Linked DNA regions of Schizosaccharomyces pombe. The gene in region 3 interacts genetically with the main gene of each other region. Each region holds a gene or a part of one and is shown on either strand. Other genes may lie near its edges.

Region 1 (6,201 bases), 470 kb from region 3:
AGAGTTGCTGGTTCTTGGAGAAGAGCGTCTACAATTGAAAAAGGAGTTTCAAGCTCTGAATTGTCCTCTATTGTATCCTCGACTGGCTCCATAGTGGAAACAAATGGAATAGGAGAAAAAATGTCATTCTCTCCTCTTAAGAAGCTAAGTATTCCACCAACAGAATTTGTAGCTCAAATTGCAATAATTTGCATGGCTTCTGGAGTCGAAATGCTCCTAAAAACCAATGGGATTGAATATTTCGGACAAGAAAACACCGTGCCTATAGCAATGGATAAAGCAAGCAAAATATTTTATAAATTTGGACAATCCCAATGGCACCAGATACTGCTTGAAGCCCCAACCAAGGATCAAGATTTCATATCCGGTAAAAAAAATGGAAAACTGGATAAGGTAAAGCAGCAATGCCGTTTCAACTTAAAGAATGGGGACATCTTGTTTTGTCCCCAGTCGACGAGTATATTCACGGTTGATATATATAGTGACGAATTGGAAAGAGTAATTAAAGGAATGAACACAATGTTGCTTGAATTTCCAGCTGAGATGCACTTTTACGTTCCAGAGGAGATTCACAAAAAACTCATTGGATTTCGAGGAGAGCAAATCCAACGTGTAACTAAACTTTATAATAGTTACATTGAATTCTCAACTACTCCTTTTGACTGTTACGGGCACAACGTGCTCATTCGCACACCATCAAAGTTCTCCGAAAATTTGTGGGCCGTCCGATCTTTATTCATTAAGACAGCTGAAGGATTAGGATACGACATCCCGAAGTATTTGTTTGCTAATTGAATTTTAAGTCAGAATCCAGTCATCGACCTGCCCATAGATCACCACACTTTCTCGTTATATTTTTTATGTCCATAACAGACACTCAAGCTGGTTATTAAATTCGGAAACTAAATTTTTTGAAAATCAAAAGTGCTCCACTGTATCAACTTTGATACACATCTTAAGTGCACAATATAATTTAATGAACGTGATCCACGCAGAATTTTGAAGCACATGACAAGTTTAAACTTTAAGCAGTTCAACGATTTGTGCAGGACGGCAACCACTGTTCGTATGCCTTTTTTATTTCTTATTTTGTTAATAAATTGTCATTGAAAACAAAAGATAAAACGTCGATAAACACAGCTAGATTGATATAATAACAACAAACATCTTTTCAGTAAAAAGAAGTAGAAACTGGCACTAACCGTTATTAATCAACTTGCTATACGCTGTGACATCTAACACTCTTTGACCAGTTAATTAGAATCGTATTTGATGAGAAAACGATATTGAGTTAATCCATCCACTTTCTTTGGAATGCATGATGATTAAATTAGTAAATTAAAGAAACAAAAAGGGATTACACAAGAGTTGTTAAACATAAAGACGTCGTTCGACTATAAAAAAAGACGTGTGAACCGTAATGCACCCTTTGCGGTTATTGGGTTTCTTCGGTTTTTTTTATACAAATTATATTACGCTTAACTGAACGAACTAATCAAGTAGCACAGAAACAAGCCACTCTTATTTTTTCTCAAGAGTCGAGCAATACTTCGTTCTCGCTGACAGGATTGCTAATAACACTAACGAAAGATGAACAGGGGGAATGTTGTATAGTTCATTTTTAGTCGTACAATAAATCTCGATAAATTTGTATAAGCAATATCATTTTAAATGTTTCAAAATCTCAAAATAATATGAAGGAAGCAACCATCACTTACACAAAGTATGAAACATAAGGAAACGATATAGAAAGAATCTGGAAAATAAGCAAATATTAATAATAGCTAGATCGAAACCTGGTGGTTTATTCGCTGCAAAGCCATAGCGGTAACAAAAGGAACAAATGCCAGTGTAGCCTTCTATATAAACAAAGGTCCTATTCTTTGACCTCCACCACAAACGGCTACGAGTTTAAAAGAGCTAGCAAATGTTGTAAAGCCTTGGTATTTTTATTTATTTTTTAATCAAGAACAAACTTTGAATAAAACCGTAAAGAGTTTTCTATCTTAGCTGCCGCTCATTTTTTGAGCTGGTGTAATTTACCTATCCATTCTCTTGGGAAACACCTTTCTTTTAATTTTCAGAATATTGATTTCCTTATGAATTCGGGTACGACACTTCATCTGGACAGACTTAGTTTGGAGACGCCATCCGAACGTACTTGTTTTTGTATTAAATGTTGGGAAGTATGTGAGGTTCAAAATTTAATCGCCGTGTCCGGAGAGCGGTCTTTTCACAAAACGAGACCCTGTCTTGAAATTGGACACTGCTCTTTTATTTTTTCCCAGCTGTAATGAACGGCATTTACTAACTTTTGCTCTAGAGTGTTCCCAGTACCTCTCAAGTTTGGTTCGGTGGGAAATGTTGGCATTCCGATTGGTATGATTGAAAATGCAAACGTTGGGATTTTTGGATCTTTTTTTTTTCTTATAGATTGAATAAAAAAATATAAAATGCTCCAAAGATTACCCTTGTTTGTGCTTCTTGTTGTTTTGATTTACTAATTAAGACGGTTTGCTAGTTTTAAATGTGTGAACTGCAACAAAAAATTAGACCCTTCCTCTGAAGATTTTTCTCAAGACGATCAAAAGCAAATATTCTGTAAATTATGTGTTGATATCTGCAACGGTTGCTCAACTCCTATTTGCGAGTTCAACGCAGTAAGCAATAGTCAAGCTAATCATCCTTGTTGCTCCAATTGTCGAGCTTTCATTAATTCAAATGCTTTTGGCAAGTTCAAAGGTCAACATTACTGCCTTCCTTGTTTGCGTAAACAAGATGAAGAGAATCAAAAGGCTGTTATGGAAAGCGCATCAGGGTTTATTCCTCTTAGGAATATCGCACAAACTGCGGAAAACACTTCTTTAACTGGTAAGTTTGTTGCTTATGTAGTATTTATTGATATTGTCTTTATGTTTCTAACTTTAATTTTAGGGCAAAACCAAGGCTTTCAAAACCCGCATTTTATAGCGTCTGATTCTCCATCCTCCGTATTATCTGGTCGAATGCAAAATACCAGCTCTCCTACAAACTCTCTCCGTCCTCAATTAAAAGTTCAAACTAATGGTTATGAAACACCTGGTGATATAAACTCCGCAAAATCTTACAAAGACATCCAAAAGGACTTCTTACTTAAACCCAAAAATTCTTTCGTTAAAACCTCTCCCTCTCCACTAGCTAATGGTCCCTCATTTCGTTCAGCTAATGCCTCTCCATTTGATTCGTGTGACTCTTTTCATTCTGGAAGTTCGATACCAATTGAACCAGTTTCTTCAAGGCAAAGCTCAGTAGTAAATAATAATAGCGTGCAGCAACCTGTTGCTTATCACGCCTTTGTTCAATCACCAACCGAAAATGGTACGCTTCCTCAACTTCCTAAAAATGAAAGCGTTGTTAATCCTCCTCCACTTCGCCGCTCTTCTACTATGAATTACAAATCTGTTTCGACAACAACATCACCATCTAAATATGGATATGTGTCTGGCAGAATAGCTCTATCTCCTATCCATTTAAGGGGTGCTCTTCGTGATGTCACAAATAAATGTAATTTAAAGGTTCCTAGAAATCGAAACAGTTTATCTAATCTTGACGAATATTACGTTAACGGATTGGAAAGCGACGAAACTCCTACAAAGGCTAGATTTCCTAGATATCCTACGGTATTTAATAAGTTAGATGACAAACGACTTAGTAGCGAACCAAACGGCTTGAAGAAAAGATTGACGAACTCTTCAAATTATGAGGCTTCCCCGCGGGCCAAAAGTTTAAATTTGTCGCAAGTTAGTTTGCATCAAGCATGTGAACCTGAATACAATCGAAGTTCTTTGGTTAGAGCAAGTGATGTGTTTACTTCAAACGTATTTGATGCTACAGAGGAAAGCGCAAATGAACTCGCCATTCGTATTTCAGAGCTTCAAGCTGAGGTTGGAACCTTATTGTTGGAAGCGACTTCGTTGGCTTCTATCATAGAGCAGCAGACTCCCGTGTCCCCCGAAGCTTTCAAGCAAGAGTTGGTTGCAGATTTAAATTATAGATTAGATTATTTACGGAAATCTTTTCAACCTGAACTGTCTACCTTACTTTTGAGGCGAGACGCTTTGTCTACGACTGTCTCTAAATTGCAAAACGCTTACAGCACTGTAATGGAAGAAACCGCATATCTGAATGTTAAGAACACAGAACTGGTAAGCCTTAACAATCAATTGGAGAGAGAATTGGCATACTTGAGGGAGCAGCAGCATAAGAAGCGAACTTCTTCCTCTTTCGGAATATTTAATAATGATAAAAAATCCAACCGAACGATTTCAACCCCGTCTCCGCGAGAATCGTTTTCGCGTCTACAAATGGTTGCATCTAGCCTTGGATTTAGACCCAAAGACAATAAAGACAAGGAGAGTGGAGGGTATAACAAACGGAACTCTAAAATAGATCTTAAGAAGTCATTTTCTAAACGGTTTCATTGGAAAAGAGATTCTCCTCACATGTCGAGTACTCCCAGTATTTCTGAAGAACATTTAGCTTCTGAAGAACAAGAGGATTTCGTTCCAGCGGTCGGTCACTGCAAACTTTGCGGTAAATACTCCAATGAGCTTAGAGCACATTATCAGGATTGCGTTAGTTCTACTATAGATCGTCAGTATCAATCTAAAAAAAGCGAATCTCCTGTTTGGGCTTTGAATCCTGACGACTTCGATCAAAACAGGCTAACACTCTTGAGAGTCCCGACGCTTATCGTTTCTTGTATAAATTTTATCGAGTCATACGGCATGGATTTTGAAGGTCTGTATCGCAAATCAGGGGCAACTTCTCAAATGAAAAAAATTGTTGCGTTACTAAGAAATGAAGATACGGTACTTGATCCAAGTGAGGATATTTCTGCTGTCACTTCTGTATTCAAGCAATATCTTCGCAACCTTCCTAATCCAATTATTACCTATGACCAATACTTTCCGTTCATCACAGCAGCAAATTGTGCCTCTTTCCAAGATAAATTAGACGGTTTTATAATGGTCATCAAAAGTCTTCCTCCAGCTCATGCTGAAATTTTGCAGCTCATTATTAGACATTTAGCAAGGGTTGCTGCATATAGTCATGCAAATCGAATGACATCCAAGAACCTTGCAGTAGTATTTTCCCCAACATTAATACGCGACCCCGATAATTCCAGAGACGTTATTGACATGACTGTTAAGAATTACAGTCTTGCGTTTTTGATAGATCATGTACATGAAGTCTTTGCCTAAATTCACACTATCCTTTAATAATTCGCTCTTTTGTTTTGCACGTTCCTTTATATTCTTTATTCGTCTTTTTTTGTTGTTTTAGTAGTTGTACCATAACTTTGGGCAGTTATATCGAGATTCCTTTTTGCATTTGCTAAGATAGTTTCATTTTTGGTCATTTTTAGATGTCATCGTGAAATCAGTGGCAGATGAGTGTTTTATGGATTTGGCGTATAGCTTCTTCATAATGCATTATCACTGCAGACTGACATCCATCGCTTTTATTTAATCATTTCCCTGTTTTAGTCTACTTGGCATTACTCACAATGCTAGGCTATGAATAAAATGCAATTGCATGTATAAAAAAGGAGAAATTTGTATTTTTTTTTAATTTTATTATGCTTTCAAGGATTTAAAGAAGCATTTTTTCCCAAGATCCCTAACTTAGGAAATGCTAGTGCAACGTATTGTGAGTAAGTGATTTTGTAGATATATCATGCCCATTATCTTAATGGAATTCTAAAAAACCAAAAGCAATTCCTATAAACAAAAATTATATACGTTATATGGTAAATTTTTTGAAGGGGGTTAAATAGAGTTTCGAACGTCTAACAAAAAACCAACTCCTGTTTTACTACCACTTTTTTTTGAGAAAAGAGGGTCTTTAAGCAGGATATTTTATTATCTATGTGAACAAAATTACGGAATTTTACTAATGGCAGATGTTATTAAACGATGCATTTTGGGCCCGACTGAAGCCGGCTGGTTCGTCGCAAAGTCTCAAATAAAAAAACCAGTTGACCAAAGACCGGTTATCCTAACCCATTGTAAGCTGCACAGCAAAATGCTAGAGCCAAAGGCGATTGTTTATAAAAAAAATTCATCTGCAATTCCTAAACGAGTTGACAACATTCTTCTTCGAAGTCAAAAGCCCAAACATATAGAATGCCTACTTGTGGACTCTAAAATCACCAAAACA
Region 2 (4,714 bases), on a different chromosome or scaffold from region 3:
ATCTCTATTAATCACGGGCAATCAAACTACTTCATTTTATCGGCACAGCAATAGCATACTTCAAACATATGATGTTTTTCGGACTTTTCTTTTTCTTCTATTTACATACAATTCGTATTCGGCGTTTTAAAATTGATGCATCGTTGTACCGTTATAAAAAATACTGTTCCCCAAGAAGGCACACTTTGCATATGTAGATAAACCGAGTGGGCTAAAAGAAGGTAGAAGGCATCAAGTATTCATACACAAGCAATTTCTTTTACATTTCCCAGCGATTTTTACCGCTTTACACTTCTTACCTCGAATTTCCTAAAAATCTCATAAATCTTTGTAAAACGATTCCTTCCGTGCATCACTAATTCATTTAGCAGATTTGGACAATACGCTATTCTACATTTAGCCATACAAAAGCATACAAATTGGCAAGCCCCACAGGTGCAAAAATCCGGGGGCTAAGACTGTGACGAAAATCCGATAGTTTTCAGTGGTAGGAAGAAAATTTTCATAAAATCCCCTTCATATCGTTATTAAGAGAAATCGCAAACTGCCGAGATCACAATGATGTTAAGTTGCCTCTCATGAAATTGGTAAAACGCTTGGAAAAATTATTTGGAACGTCCGTTTAAGCATGTTATGATGGATGCTTAAATTTAGTCAAAAAACAGACAGGGACAAGGGACTAGCTATCTTTGACAGAATATAGAGTTCTCAATTGTTAAAAGTTAAATCGATTTTAGATTTGCACGCACCAACGATGTTGTGAATGCTGGTTACATCCAACTTGTAAATATGTAGTGCACCAACTTAAATAAATTTGAATTGGATTTGACGAAGGAAGCAATCAAAAGGCAGAATATCCAAGAACGCTAGAAACATTTATTTCTATTGAACTGCCAGATATGTCAATAAAAAATGTATGGCACGAAGGATCAATGATTGAATGAATCATACACTTGTTCATAAAAAGCAACATTTCTCGCCAGTATCGCATTTAAAGGAAACTTTGTTCATAAACAAATAAGAAAAAGAAAGAAAAAAAATAAAAAATAAAAATATTATTTGATATTAGGAGAATGAAAAAAAGTTTAAAGAATTAACTTATCGCTGCCAAATGTATCTACTGAGTACCACTCCGATATACATTCGAAGCTAAATACTCCCGTATACATAAACCGCTAGATTTTTAAAAAAAGTGAATCTGAGAGAAATTTGTGCCTAGTTTTATTTTAAATACCTTAATTTCTAGTTTTCTTTGAACATCAGGTTCTCGAGTTGCTTGCACGGTAACATCGATGATAGATCAGATAATTTGTAGACGTAAATGTTAAAAATAAACAAGAACAAAAAAAACTTCATAGTAATAATTAGAAAAGTATCAAAAAATTAATAAGCATCCTTTACACGTTTTCCTTTTATTTACTAGCTTATTTATATTTGTTTATTTGTTTACACCCGGCCGCTGCAGCACACTCCGTTATCGTTATCTGTAACCAACGATATTTTCGGACATCGTTATAATATACTAAGCCTAATCATGTCTTCATAGACACCGATCGTTTCCGAGGCAACTCACAATGGATGTTTTGGCTTAGTTTTTTTATTACAAAGCCAATATTTTTATTGCACAAGCAAAGCTTTGCCGAGTTCTAACTGCTCCATTTGTTTTCAACCTCTTCCTCTACCAAACAGCTACACAAACGACTAGAAAGGAGAAAACGGCTGTATCAGAGAGTGTTGTGACAGTAATTTACTTTTACATACTCTTGCCGTTCTTGGAAACCATTCCCGTGTTTGCAATAGAGCCTTTTTTCTTTAACGGTTTGTATAAAGTTCAGCTTTTACGTTGCATTCTCTTTTTCTTTCTTCTCAACCTCCTTCGTTAATTTCTTTTTTATTTTTTGTTCCTCTTTTTGGATTTTCTCTTATTTCTTTTTGTTTGTTTTTCCATCAAAAACTCTTTTTCTTCATTTATTAACGTTGGTGGATTGTCGATAAGCTTGCTTGTTGTAAAGTAGATTAGACCCGACTTCCTCCTTTTATTCGATATAAAATATTTTCCAAGTTTCATTTCATTCTTTTCTTTAAAAGGGTTGGATATATACAGGTGGTATTGTTCTTCTAGACTTGTGTGTTTCTTGGCCTTTTTTTTTTCATCCGTATACCCTGTTCCGCTTCATCTTTCCTTTAGGCATCTCTTTTTGAGGTAGGGATTATCAAATAAGTAAACATTTAAAACGGAATCTATATATTTCCTTTTTCCTTATTTGCTATTTCCTTTTTTATCGGGGGATTCCCCTTTTCTAGTGTTACGCTTTCATTAACTGGCACTGTTCATAAGTGATTTATTAATATCCGTATCTCATCTCCTCCTTCTAACGTTTTGTCGATCCTTTCTTTTATCATTTCGCTTGCATTTCCCCCTTTATTTGCTTTCTGCTATCTATCTTCTCTTTCTTTTTTGTCTCAATAGCAGGTTTTGATTCCTCTTTAACGCTATCCCTGTGAATAATTGAGAAAGTTAATAGCTGTTGATTTTTCCGTAGTATTGATCAAAAAATTTCCTTCAGATCATTCCGTTTTGCATATTTTCAAAAAACCTTTTTTTACGATCTTTCCTTTTCCTCGGGTTTTTTGTTTATTTTTCTTATATTTTAATTACTTAAACACCCTATACGATTCTCTCGTTTACATCCTCATTTTATTTTTTTATCTTTTTGCCGTACGTACAGCTAGTCACATTTATTGAGTCTTTCTTATGCATGGTCTTCAAGGGTTATGTTTTAGAAGAGCTGTTATTGCTTTAGCACTTCTTCTTTTTCATTCCGTATTTGCTGCTCCATATTCCGAGGATGAAGAGCCTTGGAATTTAAATCAAAACAAAAACGCTTCCAGTGTTTTGGAGTATTCTGGTGAATGGGCAGATCATGATTTCTTTCCAAGCCCTGATAACTGGCGAATGAGTTTTATTACTGTAATTTTGGATCGTTGGTATGATGGTGATCCATCCAATAATGATATTGAAAAAACTCCATTTGAATATGATATTTCGGAAGTCAGTTTTCGTAATGGCGGTGATATCGTTGGGCTCGAGTTATCATTGGATTATCTTGAAGGTTTAGGTACACAAGGTATTTATATTGCTGGTACTCCATTTGTCAATATGCCCTGGGGAGCTGATCAATATTCTCCTTTGGATTACACTATTCTTGATCACCATTTAGGAACTATCGATCAATGGCGTTCAACTATTACTGCAATGCACGAAAGGGGCATGTATTTGGTTGTTGATTTGACGGTTGCCACTCTTGGTGATTTAATCGGTATGGTTGGCCATCTTAATGATACATCTGGTGTTGATTTTAACTTAAATGAGTATAATGCCATGTGGAAAACTTCTGAATATAGATATGTGGATTTTAACTTCACTAACGTTTATAATACTTCATGTGAATACCCAAGGTTTTGGGGTGAAGATGGTGGTCCTGTTTCTATTCAATTTAAAGGTTGTTATGTTTCAGACTATGATCATTACGGTGATACTGAAGCTTTCGGTTCCCATCCGGATTGGCAGCGTCAATTGTCAAAATTCGCATCCGTCCAAGATCGTCTTCGTGATTGGAAACCTGATGTTGCAGAAAAATTAATGCATCTTTCTTGTTTGGTGATTTCTATGCTTGATGTCGATGGATTCCGTATTGATAAGGCTACCCAGATGACTGCTGATTTTATTGTGGATTGGTCGATGTATGTGCGTGAATGCGCGGCGAAATACAATAAGAAGAACTTTTTGATCGTTGGTGAAGTTACTGGCTCATCTAGCTATGGTTCTATATACTACAATCGTGGCCGTCAACCTGATCAGCGGCCCCCTAATGTAACTGCAGCTTTTAATTATACATCTGATGAATCGCAGTACTCATTGAGAGATTCAGATCATTATGGATTTGACGGTTCAGCTTTCCATTACTCTATTTATCGTGCTCTATTACGTTTTCTGGGTATGGACTCAAAGATGGAAATTGATTTTGATGTTTCCTCAGTACTTACCACAGCTTGGAACGGTATTCAAATTAACGAAGATGCTGTCAATATAAACACAGGAACAGTAGAACCTCTACATATGTATGGCGTTGCTAATCACGATGTGTTCAGATGGGGAGCTATTGAAAATGGTACTGCTCGTTTGATCCTTGGTACAATGATTACGTCTTTGCTGTTTCCAGGTATTCCGCTTCTGTATTATGGCGACGAACAAGGTATGTATGTGTTGGATAACTCTGCAAATAATTATCTTTACGGACGTCAAGCCATGAACTCCGCCAGGGCCTGGTATATTCACGGCTGTTACAATGGTTCTGCTACATCTTATCCAACCGTGGATCTGTCACCTGCACAAAGAGGTTGTCAGGATTCCTGGAATTATCTGGATCACTTTGATATTGCTTCTGCTCATCGTAATGTTTATAGGAACATTCATAGCATCCGAAGACATTATCTTAGTTTGAGCGAAGGATGGCGATTTGATCATATAGCCAATTGGACAGATGATGTTTATTTTCCTGACAGTCAGCCTTATGCGTCCCCTATGGGATTGTATAGTGTTTTGAGAGGCCCCATGAAAGAAATTCAGGACTTTGATTCAATTACGAATGCCTCTAATGTCTCGAAATCCGAAGTTTGGGTTCTTTACGCGAATCGTAACGATACTCATCTT
Region 3 (6,119 bases):
AATGCGGGTGCCAATGTTATTCTTACCACAAAGGGCATTGATGATCTCTGTTTGAAATCCATTATTGAAGCTGGCGCAATGGCTGTTCGTAGATGCAAAAAGGAAGATTTGAGACGTATCGCCAAGGCTTCCGGTGCTACCTTACTCAGTTCATTGTCAAATTTAGAGGGTGAAGAAACCTTTGAAAGTTCCTACTTGGGCTCGGCTGAAGAGGTTGTTCAAGAAAAATTTTCGGATGATGAATGTATTCTTGTCAAAGGAACCAAAGCTTATTCGTCTGCATCAATTGTTCTGCGAGGCCCCAATGAATACTCTTTAGATGAAATGGAGCGTTCAATGCATGATTCTTTAAGCGTCGTCAAACGCACTCTTGAGAGCGGCAAAGTCGTTCCTGGTGGCGGCGCTGTGGAAACAGCTCTGAGCATTTACTTGGAAAATTTTGCTACCTCTTTGGGCTCTCGTGAGCAACTTGCAATTGCTGAGTTTGCACAAGCTTTGTTAATTATTCCCAGAACTTTGGCCGTCAATGCCGCCAAAGACTCTACTGAACTGACAGCTAAGTTGCGTGCTTATCACGCAGCCAGTCAAAATGCTGAGGTTACAGATGTTAAGAAACGGGGATACAAAAATTATGGTCTTGATTTACTTAATGGCGTAATTCGTGATAATGTTAAGGCTGGTGTTCTTGAGCCATCCATGTCTAAGTTGAAAAGTTTGAAGAGCGCCGTTGAGGCATGCATTGCTATTTTACGTATCGATACTAGTATCAAACTTGATCCCGAAAGACAACCAGAAGACCCACATGCAGGGTTGCACTAAAGCAATTACTTAAGCATAGGTATATTTGGCGGGTTTCATTGAATGTATCCAAAAATTTTGCTCCATAGATACAAATGCGATGGATATTAACATATATTAGCACTATAGCTGTTGACCAATAAACGGTAAATTATTAAACTCAGTAAATTACTACTTTGCTAGTGCTTTCATAAACAAAAGTCTAATGCCACTGTATGGATTATTAATGTGCATGCTTATAATATCATAGATACAACCCAGGTAGTAAAGAAATCCAAAAATGTTTAGTTTAAAAAGTCGAAATTAGAATAATTTATCAATGCAATGAAAGATTAAGAAAATGAGAGTAACTTTATGCTCAATTTAAGGTGCTAAGCATTATCGGTAGTCGAGGGTTTATCATCCTCGCATGAATAAGAAAAACCTTCAAAATGTTGCTGCATCTCTTTCGTCAGAATAGAATTAACAGGAGTAAGAACTGGGAGTTCTCGGGTAAATTCCTCATCGAAATACTTGGTGTCCGTAGGTGAATTCAAACTTGGAATGTACGGTGGTTGAGTTCGCTTATGATAGATGTCATCCCAATTAATGTTACTAAAAAATGGATGAGTCATGACATCTTCTGCATCGTTAGGGCCAGATCCAAGTCGTTTTTTAGGATCGCGAGTCAAAAGTTGTTGTAATATAGAAACGGAATCCCTTGGCATATGAATAGGATACAAAGGTTCATCAGATAAAATTGCATCAAAAATTTCTTCTTCGTCTTCTCCTCTAAATGGAGATTGACCAAGCAGCATTTGGTAAATTAGTACACCAAAAGCCCACCAGTCAACGCTTCTCGTATATTGCTGTTCTAATAAGATTTCCGGTGCCATAAATTCAGGAGTACCGCAAAACGTGGCAGTAGTGTTATCATGCCACATGTCTTCCTTACACAAACCATAATCGGCCACTTTAACATGACCATCTGGGCTTAAAAGGATATTATCAAGCTTAAGATCACGGTATATGATACCGTTATCATGAAAGTATTTTAGAGCAAGACACACCTCAGCAGCATAAAACTGTGCCCTTCTACGTGAAAATTGTTCCTGTTGAATGTGAAGCATCAAATCACCACCACTCACAAAATCCATGACAAAGTAAATACGGGTTTCGGTTTGAAAGCAAGAATGCAGGTTTACCAAAAATGGATGACGCTCTCGGTTGGCAACGAGAAAAACGCGTTTTTCGGATTTAGTGCTTTCGACTTCATCGTTTTCTAAGATGAATTCCTTTTTCAAAACTTTAATAGCATACAATTGCTTTTCACTTTTAAGCTCAGCCAGCATTACTTTACCGAAATTTCCTTTGCCTAGCACAGATAAGAAAGTAAAGTCTTCAAGTCCGATACGCTTAGCTTTATGCGTTAGGTCTTGAGCAACAACAGAGGTTTCAACTGATGGTACTGGGATTGGCTCTTTCACAGCATCTAGGGAAGGAGGTTTCGTCAACGCATCAGCTTTGTCATCCACTTTCTGCTCGACAACCTGAACTGTAGCGCCAAGTTTATTATCAGAGACTGATGTCACTTCTAAATTACCGGCATGTACAGGCTTTCTTTTAACCGGTTCAATTGCCAGTGGTTTTGGAGAAGTTGGAACAGGGTCTGCAGGAGTGATAGATGGTGTTGTGGTGGTTGTAATAGAAACGGATGCTTTGTCATTTTCCTTATGTTTCGAAGATGAAGACTTAGACTTTTTATGATGATGATGCTTGTGATGTGAACTTTTCTGTTTATGTTGTTGAGCTTTATAAATTTTAGTTGTACGAATCTCAGAAATAACCCGGTTAGCCATCTCCATAGACATACCACAGAAATCCGGAACAAGATGAACACACTGAGCGTGCGCAGTTATTCCACACTCCGTACATTTCCTGGCAGTTTTTCTTCCTAAAGGAAGGATGTAGCCACAGTGACAGCACCAATTAGCACCTATGTTTGTGTGAGATTCAAAATGATGAGGAATTCTATGGTTGATTTTCTCGTATTCGCTAGAAGCAGAATCGCTAGACTTTGAAATGCATTTAGTAACTACCTTTGGATAGCATTTTTTATGACAGGTGTAATGACAATCAATGCACTGCATACCAGCAGCATTCTTCAAAAACTCTCCACATAAAGCACAACGCATAATTTGATAAAATTGATGTTGTAGAAATTTGTGACCATAAACTTCGTGTACGCTTTCCTTGCGTTGACGGATAGCACCTTGACGACCGAGGCCAGCATCCATAGGTCTCTTCCTTGTATTATGCTTTGTGAAATTCATGGTCAAATTAATTTGTCCCATGGGTTCAAGAGAAAACCAAGCACTCACACTTTGATTACCGCTAGCTGTGTTGGGGCGGTCAGTACTTTCAGGCTTTGAAATATTATTAAGAGCAGAAGGTAAAAATATTGAAAGTCTTTGATTAATCATTTTGTCGGCACTAACCCAACCTTTATCTGAAACCTCTTGTTCAACCTTTTTTCGCCTTTGTTTTTCTACTAAATCCGATAACCGTATCCAAAGTAAACCAACAGGTAATAGCAATTTTTCATTTTTCTTTTCGTAAACAACTATTTCGACCTCATTAGTCTTCTCCAGATCAATTTCAAAAGTTTCATTAAAACGGTCGGTGCGGCTTGGACGAGTACGTGCACGCTCAAGATCCTCTGCACGAATTGCAACTATCATTTCCGTTTGCTTGGAGATTCCAGCAGAATGCGTGACGTTCCTTAGAGATCCTACGGTAATTTTAAGGAGACCAGACTGGGGACGACGGGCATTTAAGTTACCTCTACTTTCCGTACTGGGAACATCTTCCTCATCGATTTCGATATGCAAGTCATGGTATCGCTTCAAAGCTTGCTTGAGTAAGGTAATCTTTTGAGCACTTTCTACATACTTCTTCTCTGCTTCAGCTATACTACGACGGTCATGTTCACGCTCATAGAGCTTTGCCATCTTTTCAATACCTTTTCGATATTGTTCCTCAACAGATAATTTGAACTCCAATTGTTGTAATAAGAATGATATCTTTGAAATAGTAAGAGGGGTATCATAATTTAGCAAATCCAAGTTAGAATCGATATTAGAAGAAGTAGAGGAAAAGCTTTTAGCGGATTTTGTAGTGCTAAAGGATGGATTCTTCTCAATGCCAACGGACGGTTTCTCAGAATTACTCTTTCGGACACCATTTTTGCGAAGCTTTAGTTTTTCTAAGCGTTCTTCTAAATAAATAATGCTCTTTTTTGATTCTTCAATATTGCTATGAAGTTGTTGGTGAACTGTCTGATTCTGAGTCAAGCGCTTCATGGAAAGGGCGCCATGAATAACTGATCTTTCTCTTTCAATTTTCCTAACAACTTCTGTTATAGCCTCATCAATCATATCCATTACTTTAAATGGCCTAATCCTGATTTTTCCGCTTAACTTCTTATCTGCAATTTTTCGCTTCCGTTTTTAATATTAATGTGATTATAAGATTTCATTAAGACTTTTAAGCTCGATAAAATGCTAGTAAACACCCGCTTTAGTCCTTTCGATGTTTTCGTACGTTTAGTAGTTGGAAGGCGGTAGCTATGAAGTAAGACTGGCAAGCTCGCAGGGATTTCGCAAGCAATTCAAAGAATCCCACCACTCCATTCCTTTTTCAAAATTTATTGAAATATATGGGCAAATTTTTCAGCGACCCCTGTTATAATTTCGAAGGATTTTGGCACGTTAATCTTGAAAATAACGATTTTACAGAACTTTACCCCATAAATATTTTTGTCACATGTCCAATTTTATTTGATTGATGCTAAAATTGTAATAACGCAAAATAAAAAAATATTGACCAATTAATAGAACAGTTCATTATCCAGCTATCTTATTTGTCTTTTGTTAGTTTTACGGAATCCCGTCAATAATCGCGGGTACGTTATTGTAATCCATGTAATTACTATGTTTGCTGATATTCTTTTAGTTTGCATATCTTTGGTTTAATAACTTTATAATTTATTTATTTTCTCGCTTCATTCAGAAAAGATAGAATTCTCGAATTTGAACGAACATATTAAGAAATTTTTGAATATAGTAATCATCGTATCGTTCATGTCTGATGGAAAACGACACAGGATGGTCTGTGAAAAGTATGTTATTAGTATGATTATTTGGGTCTTTTGCTTGCTAAACTATTAGAATGTATTGATATATTTGGAGAATTTTGTATGTGTGCAACTTTGAACTTCCATTTTTGCTTACAATTCAGTGCTTGTAAGCATTCATTGTATTCTTTACGCTAGAAGACTCTATCCTCAAGGTATTCGATTTTTTAGCTTTTGATTTAACTCTCATATTAGACCTTTTTATAAAAGCTCGAAAATACAATACAATTGTCTGGCAATCAAGGCATCCGATCTTGTGCGAATATATTGAAGAAGTAGTGCAATCTTGTATCGAGGAGCTTCAGACGGTATTCTTAGTCATCCAATTCTTTTTCTAACTGCTCGTCTAGGGATCAGTACATCAAGTTGCACTCTCTATTATTAACAAAGAGCAGCGAGAAGAGGAACGATATGTCTTTTCAACGGATTCTATCCCGATTATTCCTGATTTCTTACTTGAGAAACAGTATGACTATCATTAGCTTGGCATAGGCATCTTTTAACAATATTGTAGAATTTCAACAAATGAGCCATTCACAGATGCTTACGTTGAATACATGAGAGCTTCGCTCATCCAATTACTCAATATAACAAATGGACTTCCTCTTATTGAACAAGGTATAAACAGTATTATTTTCTAAAAAAATATTCTATTACTAAATTCAATTCTAATAATACTGAAATTAGAATGCACTTGGACGCTTCGGGTAACGCTAAAAGATGGTTTTCCCAGACCAAAACAATGGGAAGAGTGGTTTCTTCCGCCGCAAGCGAGAGAAACAGACGCAACAAGGCAATTTAAGGGCATCACCATTCCTGTTCGAAATGTGGATATTGGACCAATGATGACGGAAATTTGGGTCGAGAAATATACAAATTCGGATTAGAGGTATCTCTAATTTTCTTTTCAGAATGTAGTGCAAGAAAAATGGGTATCTGCTATGAAATAAGAGGGGATTAGGTAAAGTAAATAAAGAATCAGTTTTGCGATAAAGGATTATCATTATCAATGAAAGAATTATTAATTTTGAAGTAAAGGTCCCTACCAATAAGAATTATAAATAGTTAGAAAATGTGCCTTACTCTAGGCCCAACCATTTTTTGCAATTCTCATATACCAGATATGAAATAGCGACACTAGGTGCTA
Region 4 (6,791 bases), on a different chromosome or scaffold from region 3:
GGCAGAGCGGACCAACAAACATTCTCACGTTCTTCCATGCAATATGTCGTAACTTAGAAGAAGTTCGTAAATCGTTTACTAAATTGAATTTATTTACTTTTTACAAGAAAAACGAGTTGCTCTGTTGTATCGATAAATAAAATAGAGAAATTCACAGGTACTCATAATATAAAATTTCGTTACTGTAGTGTTTGTATAATGATGTATTGTGATAGATTTTTGTCACATAAGATTTTGGTGTGATGTGCCTTATTCCATTCGTTTCTTTATCAACGTACAATCGCGCTATCTTCATATAATAAATCGGCAAATTCCAGTAATAAAAAATAAGGATTTGTGCTAGTAATCACTATTGTACTTTATTTGAAGCCTATTTCTGCCATGAGTCCTTTTGGGGCAGTATAGGTAGGTAAAAAAAGTCAAAGTCCCATCATGCTCTTTGACAAACTCGTACACTTTAAGGGTTGTTAGGAATATATATAATAAATGTTTCTAATTCCCTTCCTCTTAAGTTTTACGTTCTACAGTTTACATTTCTATCCTACGAAGAAAGCAATTAATTATGATTGACATCGGTAGGGACGACGATATAATTATGAAGCTGCACCGATTTTTATTACCAAGGTTCTTCAAATTTTTTAAATAGCCTCTAATATATTATTGAAGAGCTTCATTCTTTCAATACTTTGTTAAGTCTTTTGATGCTTTCCTCTTCAAATCGAAAAATTCAGCGCACGTCGTTAACGAATTTTAATGTCTTCATTAAAATGCACAAATATACGTAAAAATAGTTTAATGTCTTCGGTATCTATCGTTGTAGCGGTTTATGTGTTGCTGCCAATATCCTTATATAGAGTAAACAGTCTTCCTACCATGCGTGTCTGAGTCGTCCACTAATTCAAACAATTACTCATGTTTCTAGGGCGATTGCTATTCATTGAGTAGTTTGAAGAAATTCATTCTTTCCAAATTTACTTTGTTGCTCCATGTTTACTTATTTTCGCCTTTTGCTCGTTTCGTCTATTTTCGTATGCTCATCATTTTTATGTCAGTTGTTACTTTGTCCACGATTTATGGTTGAAGTAAGCTTGCCCGGTCGATTAACGATAATTTATAAAATCAAAAGAATCAGTAGTTCAAACCAATTTGCTCAAGAGCGCTACTGTTCTTGGATCGCCACCTTTCGCTACTTCTTTCTTCTTATATCCGATGTAAGAATCTTCTTGTGGGTAAAAACCAACTTTCAAAGCAAAGAGAAACACATAATTGCCTGTCAAAAACGAATTTTATTAATAAACAGTAATTCACTACTAATTTTGTTTTGCCAAATTTTTCGTTTTCCATCTTACTTTCTCATTCCCTCCAAACTTCTTGTTTAATCAATTCTTCATACACTCTTATCATCGATTGTATAACGTCTTCGAACGCACTACGCTAATGAATTTTTCCTATATACTGAACACGTCAGTTTACTTCCATCGTCCGCAAGTCATCGTTTTCAACGCGAATGGTCTATTCTTTCGTTTCTTGTGATAATTGACTGTTCAATCGGCCTTAGCTTTATACCGAAATTTTATAAATCTATTTATTCAGCTTAAGATTTCATCGTTCAAGTCGATATTCTCTTTGATACCCTCTTTTGTCTTTGTTTGTTCCTTTTTCACACTTGCTGAGGCCATTCCTCACGATATTTAGGAGTTACGCTTTACCTAACAAACCATTTTTTGTCTACCATTTTGACACTCATTTTCTTTGTTCATTTCTTTCGCAACTCACTTCCTTGGCGAAACTGGTGGTTTTCGCCTGTTCTACTCTAGCTAGCTAAGCTCCCTCTCCCTGTGCATTCTTAGCCTACCTCTTTTTACCGATACAACGAATAGCGCTCCGTATATATCAGTTTGCCAGCTTGCGGATCGCCTCGGAATTCAAGTATTAGATATTACCAACTAACTTTGTTTGTTAAGTGAGAATTACGTTCTTATCATTCATTACGGTAGAATCGGGATTTTTATAAGCAGGCCTTTTTTTTTCCTTAATTAACGAGGATCTACCACTGATCACTTTCATACTTCCTCATTCCTTGCGATTTTGACATTTGAGGAATTAAAATTCCTTTTGGGGCTGACTGTTTCGCGGCGATTTTCATTTGCCGCCTAACTCTTTCGCTTCTGACGGACCAGTCTTCTTTTTTTTCCTTTTCTTAATTTTGTTGGTTTTTCGTTCACTTCTCGAACCACAACCTTCCTTAATAAGACGCTTTTTTTATCCGTAAACATTCGTTTTCCCGTTTACTTCTTTCTTTCTTCTTTTTTTTTGGGGTTTCCTTCTACTTATCTTTTGGATCGTTTCCTGATATCTTTAAAGGCAACCGTTTTTATCAGTTGGGGTCTACGTATTTAATTTGGATTACGAATCTTGTGCCTCGTTTCGCCTTAGCCAGTCTTTCTTTGCTAGCGACTTCTTTTTTCGTTCGATCTCATTGTTTCTTTTTATATTCTTTATTTTTTGTTAACCCACTGCTCCTTTAACTTTTAATACTTCTTTTCTCACTACCCTTTTCGTGTCATGGATGAGGAGTTTGAAAATGACTTTCCTTACAAGGTGATGCTTAATCAGCAACAGGATCCTTCTGATGCGCAATCGAGTCCTACATTTGTTCCTTCTGCAAACCCTTCCCTCACCACTCCTTGGTTACAAACCACTCCCTCTGCTAATCGCCCCACATGGCTACCGTTACAGCAGCACATGCATCAGCTTCGACACACTGGTCTTTTACCCGCCGTTGAATCGTCCTTTGTTCATGGCCATCGTCGAAGTGCTAGTGCTGGCGTTGGTATGGGCAATTTTTCCAACCAAGCCACTATTCCTTCTAATTCTCCAGCCGTTTCTAATATGCAACCACCGACTCAAGGCGGTCAACCCTTATACCCTACTAATTTCTTCACCACTTCGGTCTCTGCCTCTTCAGATTCCTTCCCTAACAGTCCGACCGTTCCTTCAAAGTTTAGCTTAAATCCATCAGTTGCTACATCTACGAACATTAGTCCAAGGCGGCATGCAAAAAGCCATAGTGTTGCTTCTGTTTCCTCTCCCAATTCCCATAACGCCGTACCGTTTACTCCCCATGCGTTCGTTCCTCCAGTCAACAACGCATCTCCTTTACCAGCCTTGAACACTTTACCACAATTATTGCGCCCTCGTAATTTGGATGCTCAATGGCGTCCTTCATCACTTTCTCAAACGAATAGTCCTACTCATGCCGCGAATCCATCTTTTCCTGGGACTATTGTAACTCATAATACCTCAAACTTTCGTCCTGAAGGCGGTGGTCATCGTCATCGTCGATCGACTGGCAGCTTAAGTGTTGGCTCCTCTGGCTCTGGTTTTTCTTCGGGAGGTTCAGGTAATCCCCGTAAAAATCTTTTTTCTCCTTATTTACCACAGTCATCGATTCCTGCTCTACTCGCTGAGCGTCGTTTGGTAACGGGTATTTTAATTGTAAGTAAGAAAAATAGATCAGACGCTTTTGTTAGTGTCGATGGTTTGGATGCGGAAGTATTCATATGTGGTTCGAAAGATCGCAATCGTGCCCTTGAGGGTGATGTCGTTGCCATAGAGCTGTTAGACGTTGACGAGGTATGGGCTGGTAAACTTGAAAAGGAAGAGAATCGAAGGCGTAAAGACCCAATTTCTACTAGAGGCTCTTTTGACAACCTTCGAATTGACGCCGTACCGTTTGAGGTTCCTCAGAGGTCTGCTATAAAAGCAAGAGATGATGAACAAGTGGAAGGGCAGACCCTGTTCCTTCTTGACCAAAAGCAGCTTGGTGCGGACGAAAAGCCAAAGTATGCTGGTCATGTCGTAGCAGTCTTGCAGAGGGCGCCAGGCCAGGTATTTTCTGGTACGCTTGGCATACTTCGGCCAAGTAGTGCCGCTAATAAGGAGAGGCAGACCTCGTCGGGTAATCAAGGCTCTTCCAATAACTCGGGAAATGACAAGCCCAAAATCGTATGGTTTAAGCCATCTGATAAACGTGTGCCTTTGATTGCAATTCCTACTGAACAAGCACCCACAGACTTTTTGGGTAACGATCAAGCATATGCTCAACGATTGTTTTTAGCTTCTATAAAGCGTTGGCCTGTAACTTCTCTACATCCTTTTGGTATGTTGGTTGGTGAATTAGGATCTATGGACTCTATGTCTGCTCAAGTATCCGCTTTATTACACGATACGGGTGTTCATAGTGAACCATGGGAAGGATCCGCCGCTACATCCGCCGTAACTGCACTCAATGCTTTATCGGATAATTTTTTAAACGTTGCTGGTTGTGCAGATTATCGATCTGAAGATGTCTTTTTATTTGTTAAAAATGACGTTAGCAAAGCAGCCGTTTCAGAAGTCAAGCAACATGAATCAAACATCAATTCTAGTTCTGCTACTGATTTCGTTTCTTCTGCCTTTCATATTCGACCAACTTCAACTGGTTATCATGTAGGAATCCATGTTACTGACGTTTCTCGTGTTATTGAGCCAGGATCCCCATTAGATCGCGAATTACAGCGAAGAAGTATTGCGGTGAATCTTTGCCAAAAGTCGGTTCCTTTGTTTCCCACTACGTTAGGTGAGGCTTTATCTTTACGAGAAGATAAGGATTGTTATACAATGTCTCTCTTACTGGATGTTTCCTCAACTGGTAAAATTCGTGGCACTTGGATTGGATGGGCTGTCATTCGTCCTCGCAAGGCATATACCATGAAGGAAGCTGATGAGTTGCTTCAAACTGATGCTAGACTTCGTTTATTCCATACCGTAAGCAGTCGCTTACGAACTCATCATCTTGGTACAGACGTGCCACTCAGCCGGTATTGTAGGTTAGTACGTCGATGGGATGAAGAAAGCTGCAGCTTTGATCCCAATGAAACGAATCTTTTTATTTCCTCGGCGGTTGAAGTTTTACGTGAAACTCTTTTGGATGCCGCTAATAGAGCCGTTGCAAGCCACTTGCGTCAGGAATTCCGTGAAAATGCATTCCTTAGGACTCAGCGATTGCCCTCTCGAGAAAACTGTCGCATATTACAAAGTATGGCCATTCAGATGGGATGTGTTTTAGATTTGTCTTCGACAAAATCACTTTTACGCTCTTTAAGTTTGATCGAAGACGATACTGTTCGTAACATTTTGCAGCTTTATTATTATAAGGTTACCCCAAGAGCAGTTTATGAAATGCAGAAGTATAAAGGCAATCTCGCTTCCCAGATGATGAGTCTTGGTATTGAGGACGAAAGTGACGATTTGACACATTTTACAGCACCTTTGGAACGTTATGGTGATATTGTAGTTCATTATCAACTGCAGTTGCTTTTGAGAGGAGAACTGGCTTCTGAAAAGCGCCTTCGTGTATGGTCGCAAGCGGCAAACGATGCAAGCCGTCGTCTGGTTATAAGCAAATTTGCGCAAGAAACTAGCATTCATATAAAAATATTTAGTGACTGGGCGGAGAGTCAGGTTTGGCAAGACGGTCTCGTATGTTTTGTTGCTCCATCATATTTTGACGTATTTTTCCCATCTCTAGGCATGGAGAAACGTGTTCATTTAGATTTGCTCAATCTAACCCACGTAAGGTTTGAAGAGGACCAGGGCATTTTATCTTTATACGACGAGAGCGGAGCCGTTACAGTTGTTAAATTGTTGACCTCTGTCAAAGTTAAGCTCTTTGTGCAGCTTTCGACTCCACCTCTTATCAACGTTTCAAATGTCGAGTTTTGATGTTGAACTTCGATTGTTTGCAATGTTTATTTCATGTATGTGTTTTTTGGTGACACATGTTCATTTTCGGATGCCTGGAATGGCTTTATATTCTCATTCATATTATTGCTCTTATTATTAGGCATTGTTGATAAAAAATATGTTACGATTCTAAAACTGCATTTTTTCCCATTCTTACTTTTCTCTTTAATTTCGACGAAGCTGTTACTTACGTCTAATATTTGTTTCTGGAGATTTACAAGTTTTGCATAGCCAAGGAGCTCGAAAACTCGGTTTAATCTTATACACTAAGATGCCGATTTTTTATGTTATATAACTAAAAGGATGATTAAACTTGATTACGATAGTTCACGATGATAGAGTTGGATGAAGGAATCCAGTAGTCTCGATACGTGATTTTATGAGTGCATGAGTTGATGATACCTTGAACTTTTCCTTTTTTATACATTAGATTGGATTTTGTTTCAAAAATGAAATCCTGCTTTTATATTGATACATGTCACTTTGTTGGCTTACCAGTAGATGAAGTGTCGTTTGCGTTTGCAATCACTGCGGCGATTAGGCAATCAGAAGTGGATTCTTATCGGTCGTTTGGGGTTAGCTGAGTCTTTTATTTTTTGTTTCTTTTTTTAAAATGAATCTACTATTGGACGACATCTTAGCAATTTTCAGTTGATTTTTTGCAATTTAAGTTCATTTCTTACACAAAATATTCAAATTTATAGTTATGAAACGTATCCGGGATGTGTTAGTTACTCATGTCCTATTTTATGATATGAAAACGGCATAAGATATTAAAAAGAAAAGGATTCTACAAATATTCTTAGTGATTACTATTTTTCATTTTTAACGCTGCCTTGTTATATCGGCTTTTGTTTACCAAGTGTATTAACTCGATATCGAGTATATTTTGATGTATACGCATGCTATACTGATTATAAAAAATTATTAATCCACAAAGTCTTAGAAATTATGAGAACTAAATGAAATACTCTTTAAAAATAGAAAAAAAGTTAAAAATATTT

Evidence for each region.
Region 1: of pck2 (region 3) and rga4, changing one suppresses a phenotype caused by changing the other (phenotypic suppression), as found in Schizosaccharomyces pombe (one study listed by BioGRID).
Region 2: mutations in pck2 (region 3) and ags1 impair growth when combined (synthetic growth defect), as found in Schizosaccharomyces pombe (one study listed by BioGRID).
Region 4: of pck2 (region 3) and sts5, extra expression of one rescues a mutant of the other (dosage rescue), as found in Schizosaccharomyces pombe (one study listed by BioGRID).

What each region holds. Positions count from the first base shown.
Region 1 is NC_003423.3:1,837,524-1,843,724, forward strand, and holds rga4 (Rho-type GTPase-activating protein Rga4), read left to right. Parts: upstream 1-1,892; 5' UTR 1,893-2,099; coding exon 2,100-2,186; exon of another isoform or gene 2,187-2,323; coding exon 2,324-2,379; exon of another isoform or gene 2,380-2,521; coding exon 2,522-2,871; exon of another isoform or gene 2,872-2,934; coding exon 2,935-5,243; 3' UTR 5,244-5,664; downstream 5,665-6,201. Other genes in the region: SPOM_SPBC28E12.02 (BICC1 family RNA-binding protein), read left to right, coding at 1-795; protein Cbp7, read left to right, coding at 5,938-6,201. UniProt on the Schizosaccharomyces pombe protein: GTPase-activating protein for Rho-type proteins.
Region 2 is NC_003421.2:1,371,417-1,376,130, forward strand, and holds the start of ags1 (cell wall alpha-1,3-glucan synthase Ags1), read left to right. Parts: upstream 1-1,680; 5' UTR 1,681-2,755; coding exon 2,756-4,714. UniProt on the Schizosaccharomyces pombe protein: Required for alpha-1,3-glucan and alpha-1,4-glucan production which are required for cell wall synthesis.
Region 3 is NC_003423.3:2,308,618-2,314,736, forward strand, and holds pck2 (protein kinase C (PKC)-like Pck2), read right to left. Parts: upstream 4,392-6,119; 5' UTR 4,221-4,391; coding exon 1,170-4,220; 3' UTR 820-1,169; downstream 1-819. Other genes in the region: chaperonin-containing T-complex alpha subunit Cct1, read left to right, coding at 1-819; DNA polymerase zeta Rev7, read left to right, coding at 4,927-4,957, 5,007-5,033, 5,077-5,127, 5,168-5,280, 5,323-5,438, 5,487-5,590, 5,660-5,859; SPOM_SPBC12D12.05C (calcium-binding subfamily carrier protein), read right to left, coding at 6,052-6,119. UniProt on the Schizosaccharomyces pombe protein: Involved in the control of the cell shape. Target of the inhibitor staurosporine.
Region 4 is NC_003421.2:677,797-684,587, forward strand, and holds sts5 (Dis3L2-like 3'-5'-exoribonuclease), read left to right. Parts: upstream 1-2,038; 5' UTR 2,039-2,565; coding exon 2,566-5,766; 3' UTR 5,767-6,287; downstream 6,288-6,791. UniProt on the Schizosaccharomyces pombe protein: Required for the maintenance of cell shape during interphase. Required for localization of cortical actin to the growing tips before mitosis.